Daphnia pulex: one gene and its partners. The protein of the gene in region 1 purifies or fractionates together with the protein of each later gene. This does not show direct contact. Links are inferred from orthologs where the notes say so. Each region holds a gene or a part of one and is shown in the gene's direction. Other genes may lie near its edges. The genes, in order: zinc finger-containing ubiquitin peptidase 1-like, replication protein A 70 kDa DNA-binding subunit-like and E3 ubiquitin-protein ligase UBR5-like.

Region 1 (6,670 bases):
CTCCGCCTTCATCTCCACCCAAACAGCAACGATTGTCTATTTCCATTAAACGGACTGCATTGCGTGCCAATCAACTGGAGGATTCGCCTCTGGAATCTGACGTGATTCATCCGGTACATCACCGGTCATCCAAGAAATCTAATTTGGATTCGTCAATTCCCGTCGAGTCGAGTCCTTCCAGCAAGAAACGCGGACGGAAGAAGAAGCGTCGAAAGCGCAAGACGATGGAATTGGTTCCGATCATAGAGCCTCTGCATCCTCTCAAAGTCAAAATTGTCGAGAGGATCAAATCGCCGGAATACTCTACTTGGTCGCGACCCAATGGTGTCGAGCTACTTGTTCAAGCCGCTGAATTGGCTTCTCGTCAAAATCCTACTCCACCCCCGGAAGGGGATAAACTGGAAGTTCCTAATGCAACCAAATGTCCACCACCACCTCCATTGCTTCCTATATCCGATCCCATCACCAGCAGCAACAGCGATTCCGTCAACAACAACAGCAAACCTACCGCCCCGGAAATTCCCAAAGTAATTGAACAAGATTCGCCACAGTTGACGGTGGTGGTGGCTGAAGATGACGTTGAAGACGAAGGCAAGTTGATTATTGTCGACGAAGTGAATTTGAACGGCAGTAACAGCAACGGAAGAGATTCCGGGATGGATAACGACGAAGAAGAAGAGGAAGATGACTCGGCTGGCGCCCTGGATCTGTCCTCAAAATCAACTCGAACTTGTCCTCCGGAAGAGTCTAACAACAAATCACCGAGAGAGCCGAGCCCAAAACCTCCGGCATCTCCGCAATTCGTCCAGCAGCGATCCACCGCACTTCATTCAATCACGGACAGTTTAGCTCAGAGACAGCATCAAAGACTCATCCAGCAGCAGCAACATCACCATCGCCATCATCATCACCGTCGTCTACCTACCCCGATACATCATCCGGAAGCGATGAGAAATTTGGTCACGTTGTCGCAAACTGCGTCATTGGTTCCGCCGCATCCTCAGCAAGTGGCCACTCAGCGTCTCATCGTGGCGTCGTACATGCATCAGTTTGCAGCTGCTGCAGCCGCCAGAGCTGCTTCCGCACCTCTGCGTCCTCCTAAACCCCCTCAGCCAAGTTTATCCATGTCTAACGGGTTGTTACGACGTCCGTTTTGAAATTCTGATATTCGCTTTTTCTTTGTTTCTTGGCACCGCCGCCCTTTCGTATTCATAAAACTAATTTGCGTGTTTGCCTATTAATTCGGAAAATGTACATGAAACCTTAAGATTTCATCACTTTTTCTGTAAGAGTGTATTGTTAGGTTTAACTCTTTAATTTATCAATCCGCTGTATAAATTGCTGTAGAGAAATATGATTCAAGTGTGATTATATTAATTTTTTTGCTTCGGAGGTTGTTGTTGTCTCGCTATGACGTAACGTTTCCACGTTTTACTCTCTAAAGTGTGTTTTTGTTTTGGCTCTGTTTTTCTGTTCCTTTTTAAGTGTTGTTTTTATACGGAAGACATGCTAATACCAAAAAATGTTGCGAAATAAATGGTTATGACGTCACCACTTTTTACTATTGTGCGCGTTCTCATCGATCATTATGACACAGTGCGTTGCCATTGGTTAGGGGGTGGAGTCAGGGGCCCCTTCCTGTGGGTGGGGTCGAAAGGAGAGACCCAATCGGGCGAAATGGGGTCGACAGACTAGAGGTTGCATTGCTTCTCGTTGAAAGTTCTCTTTCTCTGAATTACTTTTCAAAAGTGAATTAACTTTTCGTGAAATTATTAGACTTGGAATTGAGTATTCCAGTGCTTTCAAGTGGCCGCATTTGTCCTATTTAGTATTTACTTTGTCTAGCAGACACTCTATAAATTGAACAGGATTGAAGGTTTAAAAGATGGATTATTAGTACTAGGGCGAAGAATACAATCAAGATATTTTGGGACGTTTAATTCGATTTTCCCCTGCAAGTCCCCAATATGAATTTCAATTTAGATCATCCTTGCGTCCCACGGATGCATCTGACGTCCGTCGCACAGTGCGGGTAATTGAATGGACTATTATAGGAAGAGTTTTTTATGGTCAAAAAGGGAGAGGGGGGAAAGCATTATTTGAACTCTTATATATTATGAGTGGTATTGAGGAGTGGCGCGCGTACCGAGAGGGGGTTTCTATGGTAACCGGACCACTCAAGTACGTTGTTTTTTTCAAGTTGGGGGTAGTTGGAATGTTGTTCAAAGAACGCGCTCCTTTTTATTCCACTAAAAGCTCATTACCTGCCATCTAGCGGCGATTACAAAATGTTCTCAAGGACTTATCATTCATTACATAAGAATTTCAGTAAACTTGAATAAACGGAAGAAATTATAACTGACTCTACTTGCACTTAATTAAAAAGAATTTTTAAAAATTTCATTGATTGAGAATTTTACAAATTTTTTCTTCTGCTTGGACTTTCACAACGCTGTTGCAGATGCAGACGATGTTGAGTGTTTCCCAGTTTGTTTACAATTTTGATCTGGTGACTGGTGTGAAAGTAGCGGGAGCTAATTTGTTACATATATAGCTAATTAAGACCATTCTATTAAAAATGAGCTCCGATGAATCATTCATTACATAAGAATTTCAGTAAACTTGAATAAACGGAAGAAATTATAACTGACTCTACTTGCACTTAATTAAAAAGAATTTTTAAAAATTTCATTGATTGAGAATTTTACAAATTTTTTCTTCTGCTTGGACTTTCACAACGCTGTTGCAGACGATGTTGAGTGTTTCCCAGTTTGTTTACAATTTTGATCTGGTGACTGGTGTGAAAGTAGCGGGAGCTAATTTGTTACATATATAGCTAATTAAGACCATTCTATTAAAAATGAGCTCCGATGAAGATTGTATTATAATATCTAGTCGCAGTTCTGCAACCACTTCTGACCAAAACAAAATTATTTCCAGTAGTTTACAAAAATTCACTTGTCCTATGTGCTCTCAAACTAGTGAAGAACTCAGTGAAATTGAAGCTCATATCGAGAATGAACACCTGGTAAATTAACACTGAAGTTACAAAATTTTAGTATAGTAATTCAGAATCATTTTGCTCTAGGGGCATGAAGGACAAAGCTCGGGAGATCAAATAAACTCCTTTCGGATGGATCATGCTTGTCCACTGTGCAGTGAAATATTTAAAGATTCTTCTCTACTTGAATCTCACTTTCATGTAGAACATGACATGTTTATTAATGATGTAAATATTTCATATCCTTTATTATCCATGCTCCTAGATAAATCCTGCGTATGAAATCTCTTGTAACAACTGAAGATTAAAACTGTAACAATTATACCAATTTCCTTTTCACTTTTCAGGCTGCAGCTGCTAGATTCTCTTGTCCCGTCTGTTTATCAAATGAGTTCTCCTCTGAAGAAGTACTTGCACAGCATGTCAATCAGCACTTTTCAAATGAATGTGTTCCACCACTTGGTATATATCCAATTTGAAATTATTCTTATTTCTTTGCTTTAATCTATTACACTGTGTTTCCCTTTTCTAAACGATATCCTTCAGACGACGATGGACAGCTTGCACGAAAATTAGAGGAGCAAGAACGAGAATTGATGCAAAAGAAGGAACGCGAGGATTTCAAGCGACTTCAATCTCTTCACGGCTTTGATCAAGGGAGAAATATGAATCGACAAAGTGATGCAACTCTGTTACAATCTGTTAAAAGAGGAAATATGTCCGCGGTTGATTATCACGAGAAGCGCATTATGCTTAAAATGTCTGAGAAGATTGGTGTTGACGATGGTTCATCAGCTACTCGAGGTGCAGCGCAAGCAAAAATGATTATCTCTGACATTTTCAACTTTTTCTGTAAACAGATATAACATCTCACATAAGAAGATTTGCTACAACGCAGAACATTCACATGTGTAGCGATATTGACCACTATGCAGCTTCATTTGGAGATTCTGGCTGGGGCTGTGGATATCGGTAATTCTATCAGTTTATTAATTACAGTGGCACAGTTAATTCTACATTTGTTTAATTAATTGCATAGGAACCTTCAAATGCTACTCAGTGCCCTTCTTCGCCATCCGCAATGCGCCGAACGATTGACAACGTTATGTCCTTCGACGTCATCGACTTTAGGCAATTCAATTCAAGTCCCATCCATCACTCGACTTCAATCTGCGATAGAAGAAGCCTGGAAGTTGGGATTTGACCAACAAGTAAGAATGCAAGAGCACTTTATTTACTTATGCAACCCTTTAATTTCAACATTTTTACATTGTTGTAATAAAGGGGTGTCAACAACTCGGTGGCAAGCTCTATGGTACATGTAAATGGATTGGCGCAACAGAAATTGCAACACTTTTGGCTTCTTGTCATATTCGGTAAGCTGTAAATATTTCTTTTTGATAAAACAGATCATTAATGACAATGTTTTTATCAAGTTACCGTTTAATAGATTTTCATCGACCTACTTCTGATGACGGTAAACAACATCCGGCCTTATTCGATTGGGTGAAACAGTACTTTCAAGAACCGTCAGAATTTAAACCACCGCTTTACTTCCAACACCAAGGTATGGACAATAATTTTTAGTTATGTTGGCTTGTCTGATTTGTGTGTGATGCGTAAATTTTCAGGACACAGCCGCACGATTATTGGCATTGACGAAGGGAAACAGGGAAAACTGCGTTTACTTATTCTTGATCCAAGTCATAAAAGCGATCAAATGCGTCAGTTGACAAACACTTCTGATTCGACTAAATCTAACGCTACTGCAAAGAAAATATGGGTTCCTATGACCTCTCTAAAATCCAGGCAATATCAAATTGTTTGTGTGAACGGTGGCTTCGTTGACAGCGATCGAGAGTTCATAGTAAGTTGTTAATGTTTTATGAATTTATTATGTAAACGATTCCTGACCTTTTGTTTCATTTCTACAGCAAAGTAAATTGATCCGTTCCACTCGTATTCCTTAATGTTTTGAGAAAATTGATTTAGAAAATTAAGGTACGCAATTTATTGTTACATCTATGTGCCTACAAAATTCTTCCTCTATGCACTTGTACCGTACCGCATTCATATAAAATATTTTGTCCAAAATTGAGTTTCATCGTCTTGTCACATTTTGCAACGAAGTTTTGTTAATATTAAATTATTACATGGAGTAGTAAATAGCACTTGTATTTCCTTATTTATAAAAAGTAACGTCACACGGCACTTGTTCAATAAGATTAGAATCTATTGCTGTAAATTGACTGCTAATGGAGTTAATCGGCCTGTGTAAATGTGGGTATACATACTATCTCAAGACACCGAAACACATGAACATAAAGAATTCTAGAAACTGAGTAAACTTTATGAAGAGATGGAGAAAGTGTTAATTTAAAAATTCAAAGAAAGCGCGGGATGAAAAAACAGACCATGCTGCCATCTAGCGGCCTTTGTTGTGATTCAAAAAGAAGATGTGAAATTCGTTTTATAAATGAATAACAATAACAAATAATAAGTAATCTGGTAAGATATAATCTTTTTTTGCTTAAATCTCTGCTAATAAAATATAATAATAATTAATTACTACATTTTCACAATTCATTTAAATAGGACGGCAACGTATTTTGTGTGCCTATATTCCCATTTCCCATCCTCCTACGTGACTGGAACAACAAAAACAGGTTTGACGTTTTGATTTTGATACCTTGCCCTTAGGCAGCTGTCACTTGATGCATAAATGTGAGAGTTCAACCGGTTTTATCTTCAGTGAGTAAGCTCAGAGAGGATGACATGAGAATGTCGATTGTCGTAAAAATTATCGGTTCCAGCCCTGGTATTATTCCAATTGATGACGGATTGTCCTTTGAAGACGTTTGTATACAATGTTGTCGCGATTTGGGAATTTGCCCTACTTCTCGGAACCTTTTTGCGCTCAGGAACGAGACTTCAAAACTCTACGTCAATCCTTCAGATCTCCTGAAAGATGGGGATGATTCTTATGAGTTGAGGCTACGCTTTTGGCCCTCCCTTGTTAATTTATCTAAAATTGGGACAAAAGCACTAAACTACTTCTATCAACAAGTTCACGAGGAGTTTGTGGAGGGAAAGATTACAGCATTCAACAACAAAACAAACCAAAGTGTGGCATTGGGTTTAGCTGTAACCGCTATGTATTGCCATATGAAGGATTACGGTGTCAAAATGAGTGATGTCCTAACAAATTACAAAAAGTTTGTTCCTAAAATGGTCAGACGTAATTCAAATCTCAAGTACAGCACAGAATCCTTGAAGACCCGCTTGAATCAAGTAGTTCAGAATCCACCTGGTGAAACGTGGTTCTTCAAACAAGCGTTCCTGAAAACAATAGCTCAAACTGCTACTGACTATTCAGTTGAAAAATATCCTGTCAAAGTGGAAGAGGGGGAAGAACTAGTTGAATTTGATCTGATTATTCAGCCCATGAGTAGTGAACATCCAGGAGTCAAGATGCAGTCAGTCAAAAAGAAAATTGTAAGTTATTATTGTTATTTTATATATTGAGTTGAAAATGTTCCAAGCTAACAATAAACACAATTTTTTTTATAGCTAAGTCAGTATGTGTGTTCAATCGAAGAAGTATGCTTCGTTTCCATCAGGAAAAGTGACAACCGTATGGAAATATCGCGAATCAACGGTGTACCTCAG
Region 2 (6,459 bases), on another chromosome or scaffold:
AGAAGGTCAAAAGCAGCTCATTGCTGTCGATACGGATCGAAAAAAAAAACCCTTGTACTAGTATATGCGCACCAGCAGCAATTCACTGTGCACCTTATAATGATGATCTTTATAATGAAGGGCAGTATAACTGGTGTCTACGTTATATTATCAGGATGGTCGATCTCTCGGCTTCAAAACTTCATTTGAGTTCACTTCCGTGTCAATTTCGTCTACAGACTTGACGGTTGTATATTCCCTCATCGCTATATAGTTTGCCCTATCTCGTTGGTTTTTTCAACAAAAATGAAGGCTTAAATATTGTATCACCAGCGCTATATACATGTAAAAGCATTCGGTGGTATATAGCAGTCACATATCTATTTAGATCGTCGTCGCCACACATGTTTAAAAGAGGGCAAATAACCCCTGGACAGAGGCATTGAAGCTTATCGGAATGAAAGAAAAGTGACACATGTGTGTGTGTGTTTTCTTCTGGATCGGTGCCGCCGCTTCCGTCATCAACTGTACACGTCCAACCAACTGGCTCTCGAGTTCCATTTTTTTCGGGCATTTTTTGAAACCGATTCGCGCAAAACCAACGACACTTAATTCGGGGAAATAAAAACCTGCTGCTAGTTTTATCTTTTGGTTGGTTTTATCAAAAAGAGATTACATTCATTGCAGCCTGGCTCACTTATTGTCTTCTTTAAACTATACGATAAATTCTTACAACAAGTTTTCAATTATCATTCGTCGATTAAAAACCAGCGATTGGTTTCGCGTAATTTGTATTTCCTTGTTTTGAGGTGAGAGGGAAATATTTCTTAGTGAAGGGTAGACATTTGAAGATTTAGTGTAGCAATATGTGGATGAGGAGGGCCACAAGAGAACAATGTCCATCTAGTGGCTGGTTTTTTAGTCTAAGAAAAGAAATACACTAGAAATGAGGCATGACAAGGTTTGTATTTGTGTGGGATGAATGCGACGATAACATGGGGGCCATTCAAAGCAGATTTTTCACGATATAAAAACAATGGGACCGCACGTACAGTGTAAAAGACTGGACAACTGAATAGGTTAGCTAAATATGGAAGCAAACAGGGGTCCGCTGTAGACAATTGTAGATTAAAAAGGAAACGTACGGGGTGAACATACATCGAATTCGATCATGCAAAAACCCCCACATAATCAAAATTTCTATTTGCTGGTTTCCGGATCGGCAGCCTTCGCCTCGGAGTCTTGAGATTTAATTTCCAAATTTTTAAATTGCTTGGCCAACTTGTCGCACTCCTTTTTGTGGATAGACCAGTGCAACTTTTGACAATCGCGGTTGCAATATTGCACAGATTTGCATATGGAACACTTGCTGGCTACCTTCTCTTGGCCGCAAGTGGCACAGGCGTCGTCATCTTGAAATCCACGCTGACCGTTGATGCAGGAAGTGAGAAGATTGAGAGCTAGTGGAGTCTCCTCTTTTGTCTTGGACAGATTGACCAGCAACTGGCGGAAGATGGTCGTCTCCTTGAAAGGGAAAGTGCGGATCGACTCGCGGATGAAGTTGTCCATAAACTCGGGAAAACCATCGGATTGACGTTGCTTCAAAAATGCTTTAACATATTGATTTAATAACTCCAAAACGGTTTTGTCGGGGTGCTGCTGCTGCTCTTTGGCCATTCTTTCGACTAGGAAACGCAAATAGTGGTATTTAAGTGCGAGGATCTCGTTGACTTCTTGGCTGCGCTTCATCTGATTTTCGCTAAGTATCTCCAAGACGTTTTTCACTTTTGTGAGGTTATCGTAAAGCAAAGGAAGTTTTTGAATAGTCAACAAAAGGTGAACTGGATGCAGATTGACCTGATAAATCAAACAAAACAAAAAGTTCAAGTGCTTTTCCGTGGCAGAATAAGAAATGAAGTGATGTGTCTATTCAAGTGCACAACCTGCATCACAAATTTGTGCAAAGCTGGTGCAGCAGCTGGTGGCAATTTTGGCTCAGTTTGATCGCTAGGAGCTACAGTGTACTGCTCTATTTCTGAGCGTGGAATGAAATTGTTGATGATGGAAACAACTGTGTGATTCCCTGGTTTGCCAAAATAATTCATTTTAGTTTTGGATGATTTGTACAAACATTATGATTGACTAGCCTACCTACAAATGCAGCCATTTGAGCTGCAGTTCTGCCTACTGAGTTAACCACATCAGGTTTACAACCACACTGAAGTAATTGTTGACAAATATCCAAATTTCCAGACAGAGCTGCAAAATGAAGGGAAGTATACTTGTGTTCATGATGACCTCCATTGGCATCAGCTCCCTTCGAGAAAAAAAGTCAACTTTTCAATCAAATTAACAACATTGATAATATAGTTAGACTTACCAGGTCAAGGAGCAACTGGCAAATATCTTTTTTCCCTTTAAAAGCGGCATGTTGCAGTAATGTCATTCCATGCTCATCCTCATCGTCAATTTCAACGTCCCGGGATTTTATAAGTTCTTGCAAACCACTAGTATCATTGTTGTTAATCTTGTCAATAGCTTTAATAAAGTTTTCCGAAATCATTTTTCGAGATTCTTTGGCAATTAACTCGTTTTTGAAGGAAATCAAATAATTCAGTCACAAATTTTCATATAACGATATAGTTTCCGTTGTCGTCTGCAACTGTTGCTATAACAACCGGACATTTCGAAAAACAAAAAATCCAACAACGCCAAAAATGCGAATAAAACGAAAACTTATTTTTGCTTCGTATGAACCTTTATTTCAGAAAAAAAACTTTTTCATTATTTTTCTTCTTTATATTTTTAGTGGTCTTCATTGAGTTAAAAAGTTTCTTAAACATTCAACGCTGCACGTTCAGCCTTGGTTTCGTTTGTACCACTGTTGTTTTCCCGCCATCGCACTTCGTCGTCTTGTCCGTAAAAACTGCTTAAAAAAATTCAAGCACGTTGACTGAACGAAGTAATCCCCGTTAAAAAAGGTTCCGTAAAATGAACAGAAGAAATCACCCAGCACTAACCAGCGGCGCAATTCCGGTAATATCAATCATAATTTCGAATTTTTGAATAAAACTATAAATATCTTTATTTCGACATAGTCCATCATTGGGAATGGCCTGCACAATGAAACTCCAATTCTACAAGTTTTGGTAAGCAACGAGCAAGATTTTTTCTTCATTTGCAGCATTTTTACATTTTCTTCTCTTACAATAGGGTTACAAAAATCTTCAGGGAGACAATAATGACCGTTACAGAATTCTCATCTCTGATGGAAAGTATTCCTATGCATATGGAATGTTGGCAACACAACTAAATCATCTGATTGTGGATGGTCAGCTTGAGAACTTTACCATCATTAGAGTAAAAAAGTTTGTTGTTAACAAAGTTGCTACTAAGGCAACTGCAGGCAAGGACCAAAAGAAAATTATCATTCTTTTGGATGTTGAGCCAATTGTGCCTGGAAGTGAAGTATGTTCACTTTACTTAGTTTCGAAATACAAATAAGGATATCTCTTCATTTTGAACATTTTTTGTTTAGGTTGGAGAAAAAATAGGAAACCCTCAGACTCTTAATGATGTTGGAGAGGTTACTGAAGAGGCAGCAGCAAAACCTGCACCTTTAGGAAATGTGAACAATTACAATATGGGATCGAAGTCTGCACCACCTAACAAAACTGGTGGATATGGACAGCCAACAGAGAAGTCTGACATTATTACCCATCCGATTGTAAGCCTTACACCCTACCAAAACAAGTATGTTTGTTGAGAAATTTCAGTACAAGAAAAATTGAATCATTAACTTTGCTTGTTTGTAGGTGGACTGTAAAAGTGAGAATTATAAACAAGTCCGATATCCGTACGTGGAGCAATTCTCGAGGTGAAGGAAAGCTTTTCTCGATGGACATGGTGGATGAGACTGGTGAAATCCGTGCCACTGCATTCAATGCCGAGTGTGACAAGTTTTACCACATGATTGAGGTACATTTAATTCAAAAACAGTGTTTGAAGTTATTTATTTACATTGTTATTTTTCGTTGTAGATCGGCAAGATCTTTTACATTTCACAAGCACAACTGAAGGCAGCAAACAAACAGTACAGCAGTATGAGGAACGATTATGAAATGTCGTTCAACCAAAATACTACAGTATGAATGTTTTTCAATCGTCAATCGTACCAGCCTCAATTTTTTTTTCTTTTACTTATTTTTTAGGTAATTCCTTGCCACGATGATACATCAGATATCCCATCAATCTCCTTCAACTTTGTTCCCATTGATCAGCTACCTAGCCTGGACAAGGACAGTGTTATTGGTAAGTTGTCTTTTAGGTGCATTAACATTACAATTCTTCTATTTGAATGGTGCCTACGATATGACCGATTGACCGTGCTTTCAGATGTCATTGGTGTGGTTAAGTCAGCAAATGACGTCCGCGTTATCGTTTCCAAAACGACAAATAAAGAATTGAGGATGCGAGAAGTTCAGATGGTGGACAGTACCAACACAGAGGTATGACTGGATTCTTCGTTTAATTGTCGAGCCCAGTTAATTAATCATTCTTGTCTTCAAACATCAGGTTAATTTGACTTTATGGGGAAAAATGGGCGAGGAATTTGACGCTAGCTCCCAGCCTGTTGTAGCATTAAAAGGAGTGAAACTTTCTGATTTTGGAGGTCGTTCTCTAGGAACAGTCTCGTCTACTGTCGTGCAGGTAAAATCAAATGTAAGACTTTCTATTTCTCTACTATTCTACAGCGCATATTTTTAATAGATCAATCCTGACATGAATGAAGCTCACAAACTAAGAGGGTGGTACGATAACGGTGGCTCATCATCGGCCGCTTCTAGCATTTCGGCGAGTCGTGGCGCTGGCACTGGTGGTAGTGGTGGGTCGTATAAGACTTTCGCTGAAGCAAAATTCGAAAACCTGGGAAAAGATAAACCTGATTTCTACAGTGTTAAGGCTATGGTTGCTATGATCAACAAAGAAAGAGCGTTGTACATGGCTTGTCCCAGTGATGAATGCAACAAAAAGGTAAACATAAATATATAATAAAACAACTCATTTTTGACAATATTTGCGTTTCCCGCAGGTCATCGATCAAAACAATGGCCTCTATCGATGTGAGAAATGCCAGCGCGAATTCCAGGAATTCAAATGGCGCATGATGCTTTCGGTATGACAAAGATATTTTATGAAATCTATTTCTCTCAAAACAGCACTCGAAATTTGTTATAGGTCAATATCGCGGATGCCACGGACCAGCAATGGGTAACCTGCTTCCAAGAAACCGCTGAAACTCTTCTTGGTAATTTTGTTTTCGAACTAATGTTACGTTTAGCATATAATATTTATTTATTTGATTATAAATTTTAGGGAAATCCGCAGACGAGGTCGGTAGATTGAAGGATTCGGATAATAACGAATTTCAGAAAATTTTCGAAGAAGCTACTTTTAAGTGGTATGTCTTCCGCCTGAGAGTGAAAATGGAGACGTACAATGTAAGTCTATGAGCATTATGAATTTCGATCTTGTTATCTGTTGACGCTTTTACCTTTTCTTTAGGATGAAAGCCGCCTCAAAACAAATGTCTATGAAGTGAAGGAAATCAACTATAAAGAGCACAACGAGCGATTGATTCGAGAAATGAAAGAAATGGCTGCATCAGAATGAATGGATTTTCCCTTGCTCCTTATCTATTAAACTTATAAAAAACCTTCATTTTCGGATTATACAGGAACAATTCTTTATGAATTCCTGTTCTTGTGAATCAAATCGAGATCCCGGAAAAACCGTGTGTGTAACATGATAATAAATGATTTGCAAAATAAACATGGATATTACAAAAAATAATTTTTCAGACAACTGCAAATGTATTGTTTTTCGCAGCTCATGTGCAATGAAATATTTCAACCATCAAGAGAGGCAAAGATAGAAATGAAAATAAATGAAGATCACAGTGCAGCTCTCACTGCTCTACAATGAAGTGAAGAGGGAAAGAGGGGGGACCAGTTCAAAATTTTAACTCTGCCTCTTCTCAAGTGTTTATGATGAAAACAGAAAACATTTAATCACTTGGTCTCTTCTCACTGTTTTTTTTTGTAAACTCTTCTGCATTCTTCATGAATTTCTTTTTGTCTTTGGAATACTCTTCAGCAAGATCAGCCCTAAGTGGATGTTCAGGCTCTGGATCATTAACCAAGGCAACCAGCGCTTGTATCACTTGATCAGTTTTGGTGGCAGGCTTCCAGTTTTCAGCACTTATTATGGGCAAACAGACCTGAAAGAAATAAACACACAATAATAAGTATGGCAAAAATTCCAAAAGGCAAATGTTTTTAAGACCTAACAGAAATTGCCAGACAAATAAGATATTTACAAGGTTAACATTGAAATTTTTACCTGTCCCTTTTCATCAATATTTGGATGATAGATTTTTGTCTTGAACGCAATTTTTGGTGGTTTGAATGGATACTCAGC
Region 3 (6,751 bases), on another chromosome or scaffold:
CAAAATACCGAAATCAAGTGTCCAATCTGCAGGAAGATTCATTCCTTTTCTGAAGATTTGCCAAACAATAATTACGTCGAATCCTTGATCGAATTAGACATGAAACTTGCTGATATCGAGGCTCGCGAGAAGGACAGCGTGGTTCAGTCTGTCGAACTCAAAAACGATATTCAAGCTTCCTTAGTTGTGTTGGCGGAATGTGCGCAGGATGTGGAAACGGAGATGATGGGACATCTTAGGAAGGAATTTTCCACCTCAACTCAAATTGGACAGTCACCTTTTGGTTCCAAAATCGACACTTTTCTTTCGGAATTGAGAATGCTTTTGAATAGCCCAGCCCCCGCCAGAAATCAATTGACAGCGGCCACAGAAACAGTTTGCAGTTGGTTTCAGGTAGATCGCGCTATACAGATGAGACTCATTTGAGTTTGAAATAATTTATTTATTTTTTTATTGTTGATTTAGAAACATCAAATGGACAAGAAAGACTATGCCAATTTGTTGATCGAGCTTGAATCTAGAATGATTGAAATGGAGAATCGAGAAAAAGAGTGGATTTCTCGTCATCTCAAAAGGGATATCAAGTCTTCCCTGGCGAAATTGACGAAATCAATCCACAGAGCCGAGGATGACATTATGAAGCAACTCGAAAACAACGAAACACTGGCCATGGCTAACGTCCGAAAATCCGAGTGCGATATTCACTTCCAAACTGTGTTTAAATTGGAAGGTTTATGGGAGAAACGATTGCCCATCCGTGGCGAACCTCAAGATTTTCAGTACAAAATGCAGGAGTATTTGGCGTTTGTTAATCGACATTTATTATCGGACGAAATTGTCTTCATTTGGATAGAAGTATTTTGTTTTTCTTTTGCGCTACCTTGAGTTATCAAGTTAAACCTATTTCGTTTTTTCCCTATTCATTAGCAACAATATGTCTACAAGGTTTCTCTCGAATTGTTATCAAATCGGGATCTTTTCACTGCAGCCCTGCATGAAAGTAAAGAAGGTAAGCTTTTGCTGTTGCGGAACATTACAATTCACGGACCACTTTTTAAATTTGATGTGCAGGGATAGAAGTACAAGTTGATTTGAGCAAAACTCCTTATAGAGATTTACACGAGCTTTATTCTGCTTTGATTTTTGCATTGGCCACTGCTGCTATAAATAATTCGATTGAAGGTAAATTTCCCAATTTTATGTTAATAGTTTACGTAATGTGTCTAAATATCTATATATTTTTTAAACTAGATAAAAGTGGAGATTGCAAACTGAACCATGCAATTTTGAAACGTTGGACATCTTCAATATTAAAACGGTACATTGACGAGAGTGATAGCAGCGGAATGCAACTGATATTTGTTGTACAAACTTTGGTCGCTAAGCTACAACATCCCAAAGGTGGTCACTAGCGATGGATAACGGAATTCAATATTAATTTAATTTTGAACGATTTCTCTAGGTTTGATGCAAGAAATCTTTGAGGTGCTGTGTGAAGAGGGCCTCTTGTCATGGGTTATCGATCCATCGATCGTTGCTCCATCCTCCGGCGAATCAGGTTTTCAAGGGGGAAGCAAACTTGTCGCATATTTGATTTCTGATTTGATTTCGTCGTACATGGCAGAAAAATCATTGCATGAAGACAAACTAAATGAATCTATTGATATTGAATGTATAAGTATATTATAAAAAAATGCCTAATAGCCCATATCCATGGAATATCACCATATCGATTGAATCCCCAATTTATTTCTTCTTACACGTTCCCATATTAAAAATCAAGTTCGTTTGCTAAATCATTTAACATCTATTCTAATACATATATTCCAAGTTATATTTTGTTGTTTTTTACATTTATCCAACTGGAGCTACCAAATTTTGAATTCGTTATTCAAAAATTGCCACTATGTGGCGTTACCATACCAACCCATCAGTAGGAAAACTAGACGTAGGTGGTGTAATAATATGATTATGTTGCAATTTATTTATTGCATTATGACGTAATTTTAAATTGCGATTGCCAAAACCTTAGCAATATTATATGGGTTCTTGTAGTGCACTACCTTGAAGTATGAGTTAGAAAAAAGGAATAGAAAACTTAAAAGTCGAATTGATAACATAGCATTTTGTTCTTATTTGAAGAATTAAAGGTTTCATGGTTTCACTAGTCAAAAGATTTTGCAATTTACGAAATTAAAACGTTACATAATCGAACACAAAACGTTTTGTTAACATTATTTCGAAATTCGAGCATTTTTGTGAACAATGAAAATTTCGAACAAAACACGAGCGAATCGCGAGCAAAGGATTCAAAGTGGCAACGCTGTTTCCAAGAGAGAAAAATTGAGAGAATTGAGAAGACTCCATGCTGGACGTTATTAAGCCTGCTCATGATGGTCTAGACAGAGACCCATGAGAAAAAGGAAAAATTGTTCGAGAGTTTCTTAATTACATATCAGTTTTGTCTTCATGATGTCGGGATCATCAAATATTCATTTTCTCGTGCAATCATTACCCACCACAGAAGAAGTGATATTGGATCGGTAAGTTTGTTGCCAACACATCACCTTCGTATTTCCCAATACCTACCATTTTTCGATTCCCATTTTTGTACAGGGATAATGAAAAACGTATTTCTAACGAATGTAGTATATTGAATGCAAATTTTCTTATGATTTTGCAGGCTTAAAGAACTTGCTGATAAAACCAACCGTTTTGGGCACATCAACTCTGGTTTTACCAGTGCATTACGTTCCCCTGTCCAGCAGTGTGTAGTGGGACCTTCCCATATTGTGTTTCTGCTGGAGGATGGAAGGGTGTGCAGACTTGCCTTCAATGTTTTACCGGATCGCTTAGATCTGAGCAAAAATGAAGCAAACCGGGGGAAAGATGGCAAGGGATCTGGCCCAGGTCCTAGTCGCCAGACTTGCAAAAGAGGCAGGTTGCTCAGAGCTTCCAGTCTCAGGGGTGCAAGCAACAGTGGATCTAGGGGAACAGGACTTTTGGCTTCCGGGGCAGTGGGACATGGTGTCATCATGGCTAGCTCTAGACCTGTCTTTGTCCCTGAAGAACTAGTTTCACAAGCCCAAGTTGTCCTGCAAGGAAAAAGCAGAAGCGTTATTATTCGCGAGTTGCAGAGAACCAACTTGGATGTCAATCAAGCTGTCAACAATTTGCTTTCACGTGACGATGATGAGAGTGAAGACGTTGACGATTCTCAGGATTCATACGTTCCCGAAGACTTGATTTCTCTGCTCGATCCTGGTGCAGGGCTACACTCTGACCATGCAGGGCCTTCCGTCATTATTGACGCTGACGCCATGTTCTCAGAAGACATGTTTGGTTATTCAACCATTCGCAGCCGCCCATCCGGAAATAATCGTGGAAGAAGCGTGGAAGGCGAACGAGAACGCAGCAGTGATCGAGGTAGTTGTCTTTTTATTAACAATCCTGCTTTTCATTTTTTTTTTTTATTTAATCGGGTACAACTTATGAAATATAATTGTAGCAAAATTGATTAACTGTCTCACAGGAGGTGGAGGTGGTGGTAGTGGAGCAGGGACAGGAGGAGCAGATCGTGAATCTGGGATGTTTCGTTGGCGAGATCGACATTATCTTGGACCACGTCGTTGGCTGGAAACAGCGCTTCGAGACACTTGGTACGAACGTGACCTGGATGGCAGCAAAAAGAAAGACACTCCACATCAAACACAGAGCCCTCTAGGTCTGTCAGACGAGCTTGAATTTTGGCCTGAACGAGGCTCTAGTGGTCCGTCTCCCCGTTTCACCAGCATTGCTGCAATGTATTCTGAGTTGATCGCACTTAGTACATCTGGTCAAATCCTCTCATGGAAATGGACTGACGCGGAGCCTTATCGTCACCTGGATTTCCCTCACGCTCATCACCCACGAGCTCTTACACTGGGGCTCTATGCTGAAAAAATTGTACTGCTGTCGGCATCCGTCATACGGTGCACTGTGGTAACGGAATCGGGAAAAGTAGCCAGCTGGTTAGATGAAACTGTAGCTCACGTTCCCGGTATCACAAGACTTGAACATGCTGCCCAGCACCCCTCTGAATTTCACGGCGAAAAAATCGTTTCACTCGACACCTGTTCACTCTACTCGGCTGTTCGACTAGAAAATGGAGCCATTTATTGGTGGGGCGTATTGCCACCAGGCCAACGCCGTAAACTTTGGGACAAATACCGAACCAAAGCTAAGAAGAGCCACAGCAGCTCAGCTTCCGGTTCCGATATCGTTACTGGCGCACAGGTAAATAACGAAATAGCTATTTCTTTGTTATCATTTTTTAAAGCTTATGGTTGATTTTATTCTTCAGGTGTGTATGAGAAGTAGTCCCATGTATCAAGCTGGAGCCATTGGATTCTCAATCATCGATGGTGTGCCGAAAGTCGGTCAGCTGCAAGGTTCAGCATGGAGCTGGACTGATACTTGTCGATTCCGTATCGTCCCAGGACCCCCTCCCTTGGTCCGCCTAGCTCCACCTCTTCCACCCGGAGGTAGTAGTGACAGCAAACGTGGCAATGCTGCAAGTGGAAGTAGCAGCAGTAGCAACGCCGAAACCTCTAAAACATCGAGCACTCGTGAGGCGGTTGTCGAAAAACCTGACATGCCTCCTCCTCCATCGCCAGCCAGCAGCACTTGCAGCGAAACGGGGAGCGTAGCAGGAGGCTCACAAAAGAAACACAAGAGACCAGCTCCGCGCGGCGATAGCGAAGACAAACGTGGCGACGAAGAGGAATGGGTGTTAAAAGATGTCATTTTCATCGAAGATGTTAAGAATGTGCCCATTGGCCGCGTCCTCAAGGTGGACGGCGCCTACGCTGCTGTTCGTTTTCCGTCTAACAAGGATTACAGCGGCAAGGAAGCTAAAGATTTAGTTGTGCCGGCAAATAGCGGCAGCGAAGATCCTGCTTCGCTTCTACAAGATTGCCGTTTATTGCGTAAAGACGAATTGCAGGTGAGTGACGATTGTGAATATTTGAATCCACGAAATTTCCCTAATCTAATGTTACTCTTTCTCTATTTAGGTGGTAAAATCGGGCTCATCCATCCGGATCCCTGATTGTTTCCAAAGACTCCCGCGACGAGTGACGTTGGCCGATCCCGGACAGATTTTAGCCTTCTCAGTAGACGGACAAGGTATTCACACGGTCAACAAAGTTGGCTCTCAGCTCAAGTACACAATCTACAATCTGAGCACGGGAAAAGCCGAGTATGAATCGAATATACCAACGGACTATACCTCGTTCATGGGCCTCAACGTCGGACGAAACATTGGACTCTTCAATACAGGAGATGGTGACGCCTTGACTCTGCTCCGTGATGGAAATGGCACAATCTACCCTTTGTCACGTGACTGTCTCGATTCTATTCGTGATCCGCATTTGCTGGATTTGCCACCAATGCGCTGCCTGGGTTTCGGTTCCCATTCTCTGCAAGGGGTTGGTCCTGGACAGAAGACTCAAGCCATATTACTCGTACTCGTCACCGAAAATCAATTATTAATGCCCAAGTTGCTGGCCTGCGATATCGATGGCGTTCGCCACGTCATGAACTGCTTAGAAACGTCTTCAGAAGCCTATCGCCTTTCCGGCGTCCAGAGTATCGTCAACGAACGCTGTGATGGTGGTCGAAACGTAATCCACGCCTGCGTATCCATGTGCTCACCAACTTCAAACAAAGATGCGGACGTTCAAGACGAGCGAAATGTAGCACCCGTCGCCAACTCCATCGCTGATCCTCTAGATCCCCTTCCGGTGGGTTTGAGCACTTCCTCCCGGGCTGTAAGTCTCAGAGAGATGATGAGGCGTGCTGCTGTTGCTCGACCATCGGAAAGTTCCACAGCCGATTCGGGAGTTCCCAGTAGTAGTTCCGTAGTCGAAGAAAACATTTCTATTCCGACGCTCAATTGGCCACCGGAACCGATGTCTTTGGAATCGTCCAATCACGGCGATGACGATCAAGCTGGCTCGAGCAGTGCCGGCGCATGTGGCTCCTCCAAAATGGCGGCTGCTGCCGTTTCCGACCCTGTTGAACGACGTGCCAATTCCTTGGCCGCGTTGAAGGCCATCACCGAGAGTCCAGCTCTGACCCCTCATCTACAGACACTCCTTTCCGCGCGTGACGCTCAAGGTCACACACCGTTCATGCAAGCGGTTGCCGTTCGTGCCTACCCCGCAGCATTACTTTTGCTAGATGTGGCCACTAGATTATTTCGACAGATTACAACGGAAGTGGACGCTCAGAAAAAGCTGTTGCAGAGTTTCATTTTTCCATTGGGCAAGAATGGCTGCAGCCCGGATGACTCACCGCTCCATGTTCTCTGTAGCAACGACACGTGCAGCTTCACTTGGACCGGAGCCGAACACATTAATCAGGATATCTTTGAATGCCGAACATGCGGCCTTACGGGATCCCTTTGCTGTTGTACCGAGTGCGCCCGCGTATGTCACAAGGGTCACGATTGCAAGCTCAAGCGCACATCGCCCACCGCTTATTGTGACTGCTGGGAAAAGTGTAAATGCAAGGCTTTGGTTGCCGGTAATTCATTTCAATGTTATTTCTACTAAAGTCTTTGATTATTAACTCTATATCTTGATTTGTAGGCAATCAAAAACTTCGATTCGAATTACTCTGCCGCTTGGTCCACGAGACGGATCTGGTGAACATACCCAATAGTAAAGGAGAGAACATACTGCTTTTCCTTGTACAGACAGTCGGTCGT

The links.
Region 2: the proteins of zinc finger-containing ubiquitin peptidase 1-like (region 1) and replication protein A 70 kDa DNA-binding subunit-like purify together in Homo sapiens (affinity purification with western blotting; 4 studies listed by BioGRID, with this or other methods). This does not show direct contact. The link is inferred for Daphnia pulex from reciprocal best matches to the Homo sapiens genes ZUP1 and RPA1.
Region 3: the proteins of zinc finger-containing ubiquitin peptidase 1-like (region 1) and E3 ubiquitin-protein ligase UBR5-like purify together in Homo sapiens (affinity purification with mass spectrometry, with the first as the bait; 3 studies listed by BioGRID). This does not show direct contact. The link is inferred for Daphnia pulex from reciprocal best matches to the Homo sapiens genes ZUP1 and UBR5.

The regions. Positions count from the first base shown.
Region 1 is NC_060028.1:10,618,446-10,625,115, forward strand, and holds zinc finger-containing ubiquitin peptidase 1-like, read left to right. Parts: upstream 1-2,498; 5' UTR 2,499-2,578; intron 2,579-2,860; coding exon 2,861-3,028; intron 3,029-3,088; coding exon 3,089-3,229; intron 3,230-3,348; coding exon 3,349-3,463; intron 3,464-3,547; coding exon 3,548-3,805; intron 3,806-3,861; coding exon 3,862-3,973; intron 3,974-4,040; coding exon 4,041-4,212; intron 4,213-4,285; coding exon 4,286-4,377; intron 4,378-4,437; coding exon 4,438-4,568; intron 4,569-4,632; coding exon 4,633-4,868; intron 4,869-4,935; coding exon 4,936-4,971; 3' UTR 4,972-5,169; downstream 5,170-6,670. Other genes in the region: polycomb group protein Psc-like, read left to right, coding at 1-1,157; tyrosine-protein kinase JAK2-like, read left to right, coding at 5,777-6,496, 6,572-6,670. UniProt on the Homo sapiens protein: Deubiquitinase with endodeubiquitinase activity that specifically interacts with and cleaves 'Lys-63'-linked long polyubiquitin chains. Shows only weak activity against 'Lys-11' and 'Lys-48'-linked chains.
Region 2 is NC_060017.1:3,018,793-3,025,251, reverse strand, and holds replication protein A 70 kDa DNA-binding subunit-like, read left to right. Parts: upstream 1-2,846; 5' UTR 2,847-2,970; coding exon 2,971-3,015; intron 3,016-3,077; coding exon 3,078-3,128; intron 3,129-3,192; coding exon 3,193-3,447; intron 3,448-3,517; coding exon 3,518-3,732; intron 3,733-3,794; coding exon 3,795-3,957; intron 3,958-4,019; coding exon 4,020-4,124; intron 4,125-4,190; coding exon 4,191-4,290; intron 4,291-4,374; coding exon 4,375-4,487; intron 4,488-4,554; coding exon 4,555-4,689; intron 4,690-4,749; coding exon 4,750-5,013; intron 5,014-5,071; coding exon 5,072-5,155; intron 5,156-5,217; coding exon 5,218-5,287; intron 5,288-5,355; coding exon 5,356-5,480; intron 5,481-5,544; coding exon 5,545-5,652; 3' UTR 5,653-5,832; downstream 5,833-6,459. Other genes in the region: ankyrin repeat and MYND domain-containing protein 2-like, read right to left, coding at 1,180-1,836, 1,923-2,062, 2,131-2,296, 2,360-2,542; ubiquitin-conjugating enzyme E2 L3, read right to left, coding at 6,047-6,259, 6,382-6,459. UniProt on the Homo sapiens protein: As part of the heterotrimeric replication protein A complex (RPA/RP-A), binds and stabilizes single-stranded DNA intermediates that form during DNA replication or upon DNA stress.
Region 3 is NC_060021.1:11,109,973-11,116,723, reverse strand, and holds the start of E3 ubiquitin-protein ligase UBR5-like, read left to right. Parts: upstream 1-2,331; 5' UTR 2,332-2,469; coding exon 2,470-2,543; intron 2,544-2,683; coding exon 2,684-3,426; intron 3,427-3,508; coding exon 3,509-4,275; intron 4,276-4,342; coding exon 4,343-4,984; intron 4,985-5,054; coding exon 5,055-6,567; intron 6,568-6,632; coding exon 6,633-6,751. Other genes in the region: uncharacterized protein LOC124194704, read left to right, coding at 1-393, 466-855, 928-1,009, 1,072-1,182, 1,252-1,401, 1,463-1,689. UniProt on the Homo sapiens protein: E3 ubiquitin-protein ligase involved in different protein quality control pathways in the cytoplasm and nucleus. Mainly acts as a ubiquitin chain elongator that extends pre-ubiquitinated substrates.